Linked DNA regions of Danio rerio. The protein of the gene in region 3 interacts with the protein of the main gene of each other region in a biochemical or structural test. Links are inferred from orthologs where the notes say so. Each region holds a gene or a part of one and is shown on either strand. Other genes may lie near its edges.

Region 1 (4,109 bases), on a different chromosome or scaffold from region 3:
TCAGCTGCAACTTTTTTTTTAACTGTTACTTACTGGTTTATTAATCAATTGTTGGGGCATTGCAGATCAAACGACTGAGAATTACACGTTAATAAACTTTCATTTTATTTGGAACATAATAAACAGCAGACGAAACATTCATATCATTACTTGAAGACAAATGATAATGTATATGTTCTAAAATCTGTTTAAAATTTCAAACATGTCTGATATCCTCTGACTAATCATAGCCTGGCGCAAAGGAAAAAAATAATCAATGTCAATAATATAAAATCTGGATCTTTTTTTTTTTTATTTTATTTTTTTTCCTCCAAACTAGCAATGACCCCTCTAGACTTAAAGACAAAGAGAAGAGAGATTTACTTGAACACTTTAACAGTTGTTCATGTGATCCTTCTTCTCATGTCTAGTTTGGTTAGTTCACAAAGTATTACTTTTAGCTTTCTCTCTTAATTCTAAATGTGAATCAATATTGAACTTAAGTGAAATACTTAAACTCTTTAACCCGATGTCTTTAAAAGGCTTTGCATGCTAATCAAATCCAGACAACTAAATTACAGCAGTACAGTCGATTACTGAACATTACTAACCCACTACTGCCTTAATGAATATAAACAAAGATCATCCAGATGCAAATGTTATGGAACTTTTAACTTCATAATAGGGCTGCACAATATATCGCTTTAGCATCGATTTCGCAATGTGATCATTTGCAATAGTCACATCGCATGATAGGCAATGATGAGTTTGTATTATAGTTCATCATGTGCATATGTTTTTGACGCCTGTGATTGTTTAATGTTTTTAAAAGCATTTGGGTATAAGAACTTGAACTATTTGTGACCTTATTGAATGGTTTTTATTTTTATCATTCAGTTACTGTACTTAAATACTGTTAGACCTGGGAAACAACAAACCCCTTTATTTGAATAACATCTTTGTCTTGACTGCATTTACAGATTGTCATGTATGAAAATACTCACAACATATGCAAATACAGAAATGCACTGCAAATAGCAAAGATCACAACAATTGTTTATTTATTTATTAATTTTAGATTTTATAGAGATGCACTCCCACTGCAGAGTCATTCCAGTTGATCTAAGATTAAAAATTGAGTTATTAAGTCATTGATAAAATTGTATTCATATTGCAATATATATATATATATATATATATATATATATATATATATATATATCGCAAAATAAAAAAATATATTTTTATATTTATTTTGGATAAATAACATTTGTATCCCCTTTCATTCATTCATCGTGTTATTTTAATTCCATGTTACACTATTATCTACTTATTTTTATATTAATAACATTCCTTTTTCTTAATAGTATGTCTATGTAAAATATTTTGGCAATATTATATGTAAAAACAGCAGAAAGAATACTTGTTGAATTACCTTGGGTGGATTAAATGGATACGTCTCAGGGATCTTGATTTCTAGTTGATATCTTCCCCCTGTGAGAAAAAAAAACGTTAGCCTGTTATAATCTTATCTCCAGCATTAATCTCCAAGCAAACATTAAAGAAACATCATGTAAAGGCTCTCATTACCTTCATATGGTGTGTCTGGCGGTCCTGCTATTTCTCCCTTTAACTCTGTGAAGTTTTCATCCACCAGATCTACTTTTATTTGATTTTTACTCGTCTGTTAAAAAGCAAAACAAAAATGTATTTAGTAAGGAGTACCATAGTTGCTTGAACAAAGAAACAACCGGTATAGTCAAGTTATGAAGCTGTCTTCTGAACATAATAAGCACCCTTAAAAGACAGTATGATATGAGTCTATGATTCCCAAAAATGCTGTCTGTCAAAGGTGCTGCATTACTTAAAAAAAGAACATCCTAGCTGCCCTGTTAACTGACACCAACACACACAAAAACGTAGGAACACGATCAGTAAACCACTAATGGGCATTTCAAAACAGAAAACCAACCTTAAAACACTGAGTGCGAGTGCTGTTATTGCAGACTATAGAAGTGTTGGTGAAGCTAGCCGGCTAACTATGTCAAATAGCTCCATGGCTTAAGCTCGATGTGTGCCAGCACAAATTTAACAATACTCTGACATGTTCATGAATGAATTAAACATTTAGGTCTATGTTTTCGTTTTATTACATCGAGAGAAGCAAATTTGTCAGAAGTGTGACTTCCGTATCTTAAGTCCATCATATGACAGCTCATGCTAACATTAGCTTAGCATGCTAGGCTAGCTCATTGGGTTTTGTGTGTTCATCGCCAAAAGTCCTTCTGTTTGTTCTTAACGGGCAGGAAAATATAGTAAAGTAGCGTTTTGCAAACCTCTTCGCTTTTCAGCACTTCTTTAAACTCTCGCTTGATCCTCTGCACAGCGATATTTGCCATGGCTGATTGATTCCTCTCTCTCTCACTCTTTCTCTCTCTCTCCTTCTCTCTTCCGCTGTTTTTGAGCCTCCAGTCCGCAAAGAATGATAGAGCTTCACTTTCACACCCCTCTTGCGCTCCTTCGCCCTCTCTCTCTCCCTCCCTCTCTCTCTCCTAAAACAGTACGGAAAGCACCAGAAAAGCACCGGTAAACAAAATAAGAGCCTGGAACACTAAAACACTGCACTACAGCACTGCGTTTGTCCTTCTTTGTTGAATCAGGTGGATGTGTTATGCAGCAGAAAAGCAGAGCTCAGTCTTGACAGATCCAGAATGCGTTCACATCTAGTTTCACTCCCATATGATGTGGTGCTGTCACATGATGTCGTGCTGCTAAAGCTCGGATGCATCTGTTTTACTCCCACGTGATGCGTTCAGAGCATACGGTCCATCATCACCCCTTTCACTGAATTTGCAAACAATTTAGGCCTACACTATTTAAACCAAGTATTAAATCACATGGGTCCTTTTTGATTATTCTAACAGGAACATGAAGATAAATCGTTTGTAGCATACAATATGTATTCACCACCATTATAATACCATGCTAAATCTGAGTTATTTTTATATATATACAACAGTTCTGTCAGGTCCTCGAATCTGATTGGCTGATAGCCGTGATATATTTAAGTAATATCAGCACCAGTACAGCCTCTTTACCTTTTGTGTATTACTCCGCCCACATACAGCCAGCAAAAAGCATATATATTAAAATTAACAAATAAAAAGTTTACACTATGGTGAATAATACAGTGTTTAAAAATAATACAATTGTTTGGTGTGTTGTATGCTATATATATATATATGTGTGTGTGTGTGTGTGTGTGTGTGTGTGTGTGTGTGTGTGTGTGTGTGTGTGTATATATATATATATATATATATATATATATATATATATATATATATATATATATATATATATATATATAAATCTATTAATAAGAACTTTTTTTCGTTTTTCACCTTTCATTTGATAAACAATTTGAAATTAAGTTAAATCAACCATGCTTGAAAAGTTGCATACCAGTTGTCAGTGTGGCAGGGAATGAACAGAGCTCTCTTCCACTTTCAGTACCCGAGACTGAGGTGCCCTTAAGGGTTAGTTCTACCAAAAAATCTGTTATAAGTAATTACTAACAGAATTTTTGGTAGAACTAACCTTTAACATCCTTGTGTTGTTACAACTCCCTGGGACCTTCAACTTCGGAATACAAATTGAGATATTTTATATGCTCAGTGTCAGTAGCTAGTAAGAGCTTGGGGTGACCTAAATCAGTCTAAGCTTGATGTTCTTTGCTGATTGCTCCCCACACATTCCTGTCTCAACTTCCACTATCCAATAAAAATGTGAAAAAAAACCTAAACAATGAAAAAAAAAAATATATTTTACATGACATCTAACACAACACATTTACAGCCTTTAAAGTCAGAAACCCAATCAACATACAAATGTTTTTCATTTCATGTTAATGTTTTAACATGCGGCATAATCTGACAGATGTTTGGTACACAAAAGTCTTCTTGGAGCTTTGTGTGACAGTTGTTTGTATCTCGTATCTGTGTGTGTTTGTGTTCACTTCTCATTGTGGTGATTATGTATTCCCTTGAATGGGTAAAATGTAATTCAACTTCAAAGTATGTGTGACCACATTTGGCCATCACATTATTCATACATCTATCAATTCAGATGCC
Region 2 (4,083 bases), on a different chromosome or scaffold from region 3:
TATTGTGTTACATTCTTCGTTCCACATAATTTATTTCACATTTATTATTATAACACTTAAACGGGTTGATCTGATTCTGTTGCATAAGCAGGGTTGACTTTAATTTTTCTTAAATCAAGAAACAGATTAAAGTTTGTTCATCCATTCGTGACTTCACAAAGCTTCTCTTGACAATTTCCCGTTTTATTCCTGCATATTTTATTATTTTTGTTTAGATTCTGTTTTTTCCCCCTTTGTGTTCGCAGGCATACATATCCTGTAACTATAACACGAAATAGCTTTAATGTAAAAATGTAATCTTTAATATTTGTCGGCTCTATGCACAGCTAGTGCCAATGATGAACTTCCTGTGAGATCTTTATGTGACTATTTTCAATTTCATAAGGTTCCTTTTACAGCCTTGATGTTGTAATGTAATTAAAATGCATTCAGTTCAATAGACTAAAGCATTAATTTAGTTGTTAAACCGTAAAAAGAGACGAAAGACAGTTTAAACGCAGGCACCATCATTACCCGCAGGCGAGCGCAGAAACTCCATTGAAAATACTGAGGTAAAATTAATTTCCATATTTTAAAGACATGGCAGGGGGAAATATAACTTAATGCAGTGCTTCTTGCTTGGACTGATACCCACTTTATATCCTATCTTAGCCAGGCAGTGAAGATCACTGATTTTTTTTAAAGAAATCAGATCTTATTTTGTATGGGATGACAATTAACCGGAAGCCCTGAGGCTGGCTGACTGAAAATAAAAGTCCGTGTGCATATACCCCACTAATATTTTTGGACTGATATTGAGTCTAAACCACATAGTGGAAGTATACAAAATCTAATAATGAGAAAATTTATAATAATGAACAATACATACAGCATTTATAACCATAGTTCAACATTTACTAACAATCCCATTCTTTTTAAAAAAAAATAACGTTATCCCTTCTACAAAACATTTCCGCCCCTACTCAATATTTCGTTTTAGTTAAAATATGTTTTTTATATATAATTTTTTATTGCTGTTTAGAAATATAGCAACATTTAAACATTTTACACAGGGCATACGTACAGCTAGTTGGAAGTACGTCAACCCGCATCAACATACTGAAATAAAAGTCTCAGTAACGTCCGGTTCACGGAGACTTTTAAAACATAAAATCATGACGTCAAATCTCACTGTTGTTCTTGTCAGGCGCATCAATAAAGCTTTCCGTTGTAAAATACAAGTTTACTTCCTGTTTTCATTTTTTCTTCATGTGACATCTGAGACATTTCATCTCGAAAGTGTGTAAAAACACACACACACACACCGCGCGCGCTGCCACGTCAGGGTTACAGCTCTAGATAAACACCTGGCAGAGCTCACACAACACACACTCGGCGGATAAACACACACTCACAGGAGCGCAGATCAGCCGAGCGCCGGATTATTGAGCATCATGGAGAGCAAATACAACCTGAAGAGTCCAGGTGAGTCAAACCTCTGATCTCTATCTCTCTCTCTCACACACACACACACACACTGCTGTCGCGAGCTATAAACCACACCATAACATCTGCACTCATCCATCCGTCCAGCCGGTCTTTTCACTGTGTCGAGCTAGCTAACGGTAGACTTACGTTACTAGCCGCAGTCACAGGTGTGTGTGCGTGTGTGTGTGTGTGTAATGAATATTAGTTTGTAATAAATGATTGATTGTGTGCGTGTTTGTAATTTATGTGTGTTTTTAATGTGTGTCTTTGTAGTGTGTTTGTGTGTGTGTCTTTTTATTTTGTGTGCTAGTAGTGTGTGTGTGTGTGTGTGTGTGTGTGTGTGTGTGTGTGTTTGTAGTGTATGCTTGTCATTTTGATGCATGTGTCTTTTCCGTGTGTGTGTGTGTTTGTGTCTTTTTCATGTGTGTGAGTGTGTGTGTTTGTAGTGTGTGTGTGTGTGTGTGTGTGTGTGTCTTTGTAATGTGTGTGTATGTAATGCATTTGTATGTGTAGTGTGTGTGTGTGTGTGTTTAAATGAGTGTATGTATTGAGTGAGTGTGTTTGTGTGTGTCTTTATAATGTGTGTCTGAGTGTAATGTGTGTGTGTGTGTGTGTTTAAATGAGTGCTTGTAATGATTGGGTGTGTTTGTAATGGGGTTGTGTTTAATGAATGTGTGTGTGCGTGTGTGTCTTTGTAATGTGTGTCTTTGTAATGTGTGTCTGAGTGTATATAATGTGTGTGTGTGTGTGTGTGTTTAATAAATGTGTGTGTTTGTAGTTAACTATTTATGTGCTGTAGGTAAATGGTGTGTTTCAATTCTGCCACCACCGCAAGTAAATTTCCAACCTGTGTTGAGCATTGCATTCAGATGCACTCATCCACCATTACATGGACTACAAGTTCCAGTCATGCACCACACACACACACCTGCTCAAAGTCTGAAGCTGCTCTTGTACTGATTATACCACACACACGTCTGTCTCGCCTTGACACGTTCACTCTCATGGCTGAGTCTTGTTATGCTGAATTGGGAACATCACGACGTGGTTTCCTTGCCTTCCGTGTCTGACCTTTGCTTTGTTTTGTTTGTTTTACGTTGTTTGCTGCCTGCCTTTTGACCATCCGCCTGTTATATGAGCATGACTCTGGATCTGCCTGTATACATCTGTTTGCCCTTGTGTTGATCGTTGCTTGCCTGACCATTCTCTGTTCAATAAACCCTGCTTTTGTTAAACTAGGCAAATTTTCAAATTTAGTAAACTAATAATACTGTGTGTGTGTGTGTGTGTGTGTGTGTGTGTGTGTGTGTGTGTGTGTGTGTGTGTGTGTGTGTGTGTGTTAGCTGTGAAGAGGCTGATGAAGGAGGCGGCAGAGCTTCGTGACCCCACAGAACATTATCACGCTCAGCCACTGGAGGTGAGACTTTATTATTTATAGGAATTGAATTTCTGGGAGTTTCTTCATGCGTTATCATCTGTTTTAGTGTGTAACTTTATGTGAAACGTGTGTTTTCTGTAGCGCTGTTTGTGTCTTGCTTGTTTGACGTTTTAATAACAGAAGTTACAGAATGTTTAATTCTGTAAATGTTCAGAAGAAACAATGAATATTAGACTGACAATTAGTATTATTCATTGTTGTTCGTATTATAAATGTTAAACGTTTTAAATGCATCTTGTTATTTAAATGGAGTTATTTATATTTAATTTATTAAATTGTTCATAAATTTGAATTGATCCGAATTTGAAGTCAATCAAGTTGATCAATTCTATTGAAATAATTATGATTTATCGTGTAACTATGAACTGTCAAGAACTGTTAAAATGCTAAAACATTGAATATTCGACTATGAAAATTAGTATTATTTTTTGCGATTATTATGTTTGATGTTGAATATTATAAACGTAACTAGTTGTTATGTAAATGTAAACAGTTATTAGTTATATTTAATTGACTGAATTGTTACATCAATTTTTTTATAATTATTATGATCTTTTAAAAGTTTGATGTCAATCAAAAATCTGAAGTTGATAATAAATTATATTTAATTAGGATTCATTTTGTAACTTCTATTATTAAAACGCTAAATCAGTCAACATTAAACTATAAAAATGTGTATTTGTTGTGTTATTAAATGTAAGTTTTTAATGCACAAAATGCAGTTAAAATGCAAAACAACAGTTGTAATTTATATTTTATTCATTAACTTGTTACATAAATACTTTTATCATTTTATATAATTCATTATTCAAATAGACTTTAATTATTTCAAGATATTAAAAGCATTTTATTATTTTTTAAATAGCTTGATTATTCTTCAGACTTTTGAAGTGTACTGAATCTGGCTGAACCAGAAGTTGCTGAGACTTCAGTATGTTGATGTGCTTCCAACTGAAACGGAATATTGAGTAGGGGGTGGGGCTTTCCTTTTGTGCATCATTTCCTTGTAGCAAACTAACAGTAAGAGGGGCGTGGTTAGGAACATTAATATGCAGTTGCTATAGCAACCCTCAGGTTGGCATCAACAGAAAGACAACCACTCCAAACACAGAAGCAGATGCTCAGAGTTTGATTGAAGATTACCAAAACAAACCTTTTTTTTTTTACTCAAACTTTTA
Region 3 (4,328 bases):
TCAGAAAAAAATACATAGAATGAACAGTTTGAGTGGTTTTGCTGAGAAATAAATTCTTTAAGAGTTAATGTCTTTGCCAATCCGCAGAGCTAAGCAGGTATTATGCTATATATATATATATATATATATATATATATATATATATATATATATATATATATATATATATATATATATATATATATATATATACACACACACACACACACACACACACACACATCAGTGCATTTATAATCTGATTGTGGATGGACTTTTTTTTAACACATACTGAAAAACTTGTTTTGTATATTAAGGGTATTGTCATATATGTCTCCCAGTGAGTATCAATGACTACGTTACATGGACATAATCAAATCATTTGCCTTAATCTGAATAAGACAATAATATGATTAGGGTGTTTACATGAGTTGCTTTTTAAATGCTCCTTTCATCCTGTTTTAGATGTTGTAGCACATAATTCGATTAACGTCACAGCGTCACCACCCTGTAAACACTTTATCTAGAGTTTCATGTAATTTCAGGTGTTTCATTTTTAATTTCTCAACTTTACCTGCATTTTGGCACTTTCACTTGGGAACATTTCATGCATGCCCCCTGTGATATACAAGATATTGGGTGCAAGTATGAACTGCCAAAAGTGTTTTTTATTGAAATTTGATACAGCGTGCCGTATGAGGAAAAAAGCCTCTGCATTTCGCAGTGTGTCTGTGGTCCTCCACTGACTTGGCAGGTGCAGAGAATACTGTCAAACAGCTGTGTGTATGTAGACTATCCTGTTTTAAAATGCAGCAAAGTCCTACATGTCGGTAATAGCTTGATTACAGTGTTTACATGTGTGTACTGCACTTCAATAATTCGACTAAAATTGGCATACTCCACAGGTCTTAATTTGAATTAGGTTTAGTTCGATTATGACTTTAGTCAGATTATACTAATCAAAAATCACTGTTTACAAGGTAGACTTTTAATCGGAGTATTGTCTTAATCGCATTAAAATCGGATTACTGGTGTCCATGTAAACATACTTTATCCTTCAGGAAAATACTTATATATTTTTTAAAATAATAAAAAAGTCTAAATTATTCTGCATGCTAATGCAAACTACATTCCAGCCATTTTTAACAGCAACATTTTGGTGATTATTATGGTGTGTTATATGATGCAAAAACCTTTTTGCAATTATAAATAATGAAAATGTGCAGGATAATTTATTAATGGCTGACGCATGATCCAAAAAATGCCTACTTGATAACCTAAACTGTTTTACTAGTCAAGTACCCAAACAGTGAAGAAAATCTTGCATTATTCACTCCATCTTACATAAACAAAGACATGCAACCTGCCTGTTGACAGCTGGCTCTATTAAGTAGGTCACAAATATTTTACCAAGGAGCAGACATAACTGACAAACCACGTGGGCAAAATATTTCACCCACACGGATGGGGATAATAAGAGCACAATATTAAGCCATAAGAAATAACCATAGAATAATACCCTGCAAAATAGCCCGAATACACACATCTCTGCGAAGTTTAAATGCACCTTAATGTAATTATACATTCATAAACTCAAAAGAATATCCCTTATTGTTTTGCAAAGAGCAGTTTACCTCCTCTAAACCCACAACCCATAGGAAACAGTGCCTTTTCAAAGCAATGACCGCTAAAATGAGGGGTTAGGCATGGGCTTTCTTGGAATTGAGAGCAATAAGCGTTGGGGGATGGGGTGGTACTTGTGACAAAGGCCCAAGTGGGCCGCTTATTCTCGCATATGGTGCACATAAGAAGCAAATGTACCTTGTCAGAGTTACCTGTACAGCAGGTACAAATCCTGTCAACAACCCCCAACGCATCGCATCATTCTGCCGCTCGCGCACCTGCACTTGAGAGTCAAAAACCGCGTGAGCCACTTAGCTCGCTGCAAAACACATTCATAAGATGAGTTATAGACAGCAATTGCACGCTTACTATAGAGGCAATCGTGGGATTTTAAAACGCTGGAGTTCGCAGTATAGCAAATCGATGCTAACAATGGAGAGGGTTACATAAACAGGTTGAGTGATCAGTGATCTAACCGGAGAGGCAAAACAATAACCGGGTACCTCACACCCCCACGAGTTGGATTCGGCATTTGATGCATTTTTTCCTAGCGTGAATCTTGAGATAGTTTTAAGACTGGGATTTGTGCAGATATGCGGGCACTCAGATTATCTTGCTATCTATCTAGGCTAGCGTTCTAGGAGTACGTTATGTTAGCTTGCCAAAAACGAAGCTTGTTAGCTTAGCGCAACCTTCGTGCAAATCATGAAGGAAGGATGAAAAATAACCCAAACCATATGACGGGAGAAGTGGCCAACTTTTCCGCAAGGATGAGTTGGTTTCTTTTATCCCCGGCTCGTGATGCGCGCATGGAGCGCATTGTCTCGCGCATGCCGTTAGCTGGCTCTTCCTAAAGTGGCCAGATGATATTTACAGGCAAATTGTTGCGCCTGGCTATCTGACTTGAGCGGTAAAAACTTGACTTTAGCTAACAGTGACACTGTTCTTGTGGACACGTTAGCTAGTTAGCATTAGCTAGGTACATAAGTATGCAGAACTCACCACATCCGATATTACTTGGCCTCTCCACGGTACTGAATACAGAAATACCTCGCGGGCAAAAGATAAACAACAAAAAGGTCAAATCAAACCGTTTCTGTAACTTTATCCCTGGAAGTGGCGGGAGCTCCGTGACTTTCCAGTGTGAGGGGAGGCTGGACGGTTGCCTGACCGGCTATTCCCTGTACCGTTAACAGTTCGGCAAGTATTCTTCAGTTCATGAGCGTAGAACCAACATGTGCAGAGTTTGAGTTGAGACTGTGCCACTATTCAAGATACAGGGGAATAACACAAACGCGTGTATGTATTTGAGAAGTCAGATGCTTTAACGCAATACATTACCGGATGGTAATGTTTTATATATATATTTAGTAGCATGTAATGATGTGTAATGATGAAAACCGTTCACAGAACTTGTCGAAAACGTTATTTCGACACTGATATCCCCTATCGACCTATACAATAGACGCGCCCTAAGCTTGGGTCGCGCTATCCACCATGGGAAAAGTAGTTTTTAGTGTATGAAATGTGCGTCAATTTGCTTTTGGGAAGAACATGGAATTTTATCGTCATCATCAACAACAAAAACAAGTTTCATCATCAACAGCAAGTTTTTAAGGTGAATTTATATGAACGCCTAAGGAAAATTACGTACTGTACAAATTAATTAAAAATGTTCTCAGCGCTTTGCATTCACTTTATAATTTGAAATGACTATCAAATTAATAGGAAAAGTTACACATTCAATTGTTTCAATTTGAATGAGCATCAATAGCAGCAAAACGCACAGCTTTGTCGTTGTGATTCCTTTTCAAAGCTTACAAAAGGATTTCTGGAAATATTAATAGTTCAGAAGAAGCTGACTACTTAAGACAGGGGTGTCCAAACTTTTTGGGCCGAGGGCCAGATGCAAAGAAAACAACGTTGTCGCGGGCCAAATTTTACACACATCACACAGACACGCATATATATATATATATATATATATATATATATATATATATATATATATATATATATATATATATATATATATATATATATATATATATATATATACAGTTGAAGGCAGAATTGTTAGCCCCCGTTTATTTTTTCCCCAATTTCTGTTTAACGGAGAGAAGATTTTTTTCCACACATTTCTAAACATATTAGTTTTAGTAACTCATTTCTAATAACTGATTTATTTTATCTTTGCCATGATGACAGTAAATAATATTTGACTAGATATTTTTAAGACACTTCTATACAGCTTAAAGTGACATTTAAAGGCTTAACTAGGTTAATCAAGTTACAAGTTAAGGTAATTAGGCAAGTTATTTTATTACAATGGTTTGTTCTGAAGACTTAAGGGGCTAATAATTTTGACCTTTATGAAATGGTTCATAAAAAAATTAAAACCGCTTTTATTCTAGCCGAAATACAACAAATAAGTCTTTCTCCAGAAGAAAAAAATATTATCAGACATACTTTGAAAATGTCCTTGCTCTGTTAAACATCATTTGGGAAATATTTAAAAAAGAAGAAATAAATCAAAGAGTGGCTAATAATTCAGACTTCAACTGTGTGTATATAGATAGATAGACAGACAGACAGACATAGATAGATAGATAGATAGATAGATAGATAGATAGATAGATAGATAGATAGATAGATAGATAGATAGATCATAACAAGAACTGCTGCTTAATTGAATGCATGTAATAGCGACACCCGGTGGTTATTTA

The links.
Region 1: of the proteins of uba1 (region 3) and ube2kb, one has a biochemical effect on the other in vitro, tested with the Homo sapiens proteins (9 studies listed by BioGRID, with this or other methods). The link is inferred for Danio rerio from reciprocal best matches to the Homo sapiens genes UBA1 and UBE2K.
Region 2: the proteins of uba1 (region 3) and ube2j1 form a complex in vitro, tested with the Homo sapiens proteins (2 studies listed by BioGRID, with this or other methods). The link is inferred for Danio rerio from reciprocal best matches to the Homo sapiens genes UBA1 and UBE2J1.

The regions. Positions count from the first base shown.
Region 1 is NC_133176.1:24,896,314-24,900,422, reverse strand, and holds the start of ube2kb (ubiquitin-conjugating enzyme E2Kb (UBC1 homolog, yeast)), read right to left. Parts: upstream 2,832-4,109; 5' UTR 2,379-2,831; coding exon 2,316-2,378; intron 1,664-2,315; coding exon 1,570-1,663; intron 1,474-1,569; coding exon 1,415-1,473; intron 1-1,414. UniProt on the Homo sapiens protein: Accepts ubiquitin from the E1 complex and catalyzes its covalent attachment to other proteins. In vitro, in the presence or in the absence of BRCA1-BARD1 E3 ubiquitin-protein ligase complex, catalyzes the synthesis of 'Lys-48'-linked polyubiquitin chains.
Region 2 is NC_133195.1:1,235,035-1,239,117, reverse strand, and holds the start of ube2j1 (ubiquitin-conjugating enzyme E2 J1), read left to right. Parts: upstream 1-1,252; 5' UTR 1,253-1,433; coding exon 1,434-1,464; intron 1,465-2,810; coding exon 2,811-2,884; intron 2,885-4,083. UniProt on the Homo sapiens protein: Catalyzes the covalent attachment of ubiquitin to other proteins. Functions in the selective degradation of misfolded membrane proteins from the endoplasmic reticulum (ERAD) and is essential for cells to recover from ER stress.
Region 3 is NC_133198.1:23,543,940-23,548,267, reverse strand, and holds the start of uba1 (ubiquitin-like modifier-activating enzyme 1), read right to left. Parts: upstream 2,821-4,328; 5' UTR 2,605-2,820; intron 1-2,604. UniProt on the Homo sapiens protein: Catalyzes the first step in ubiquitin conjugation to mark cellular proteins for degradation through the ubiquitin-proteasome system.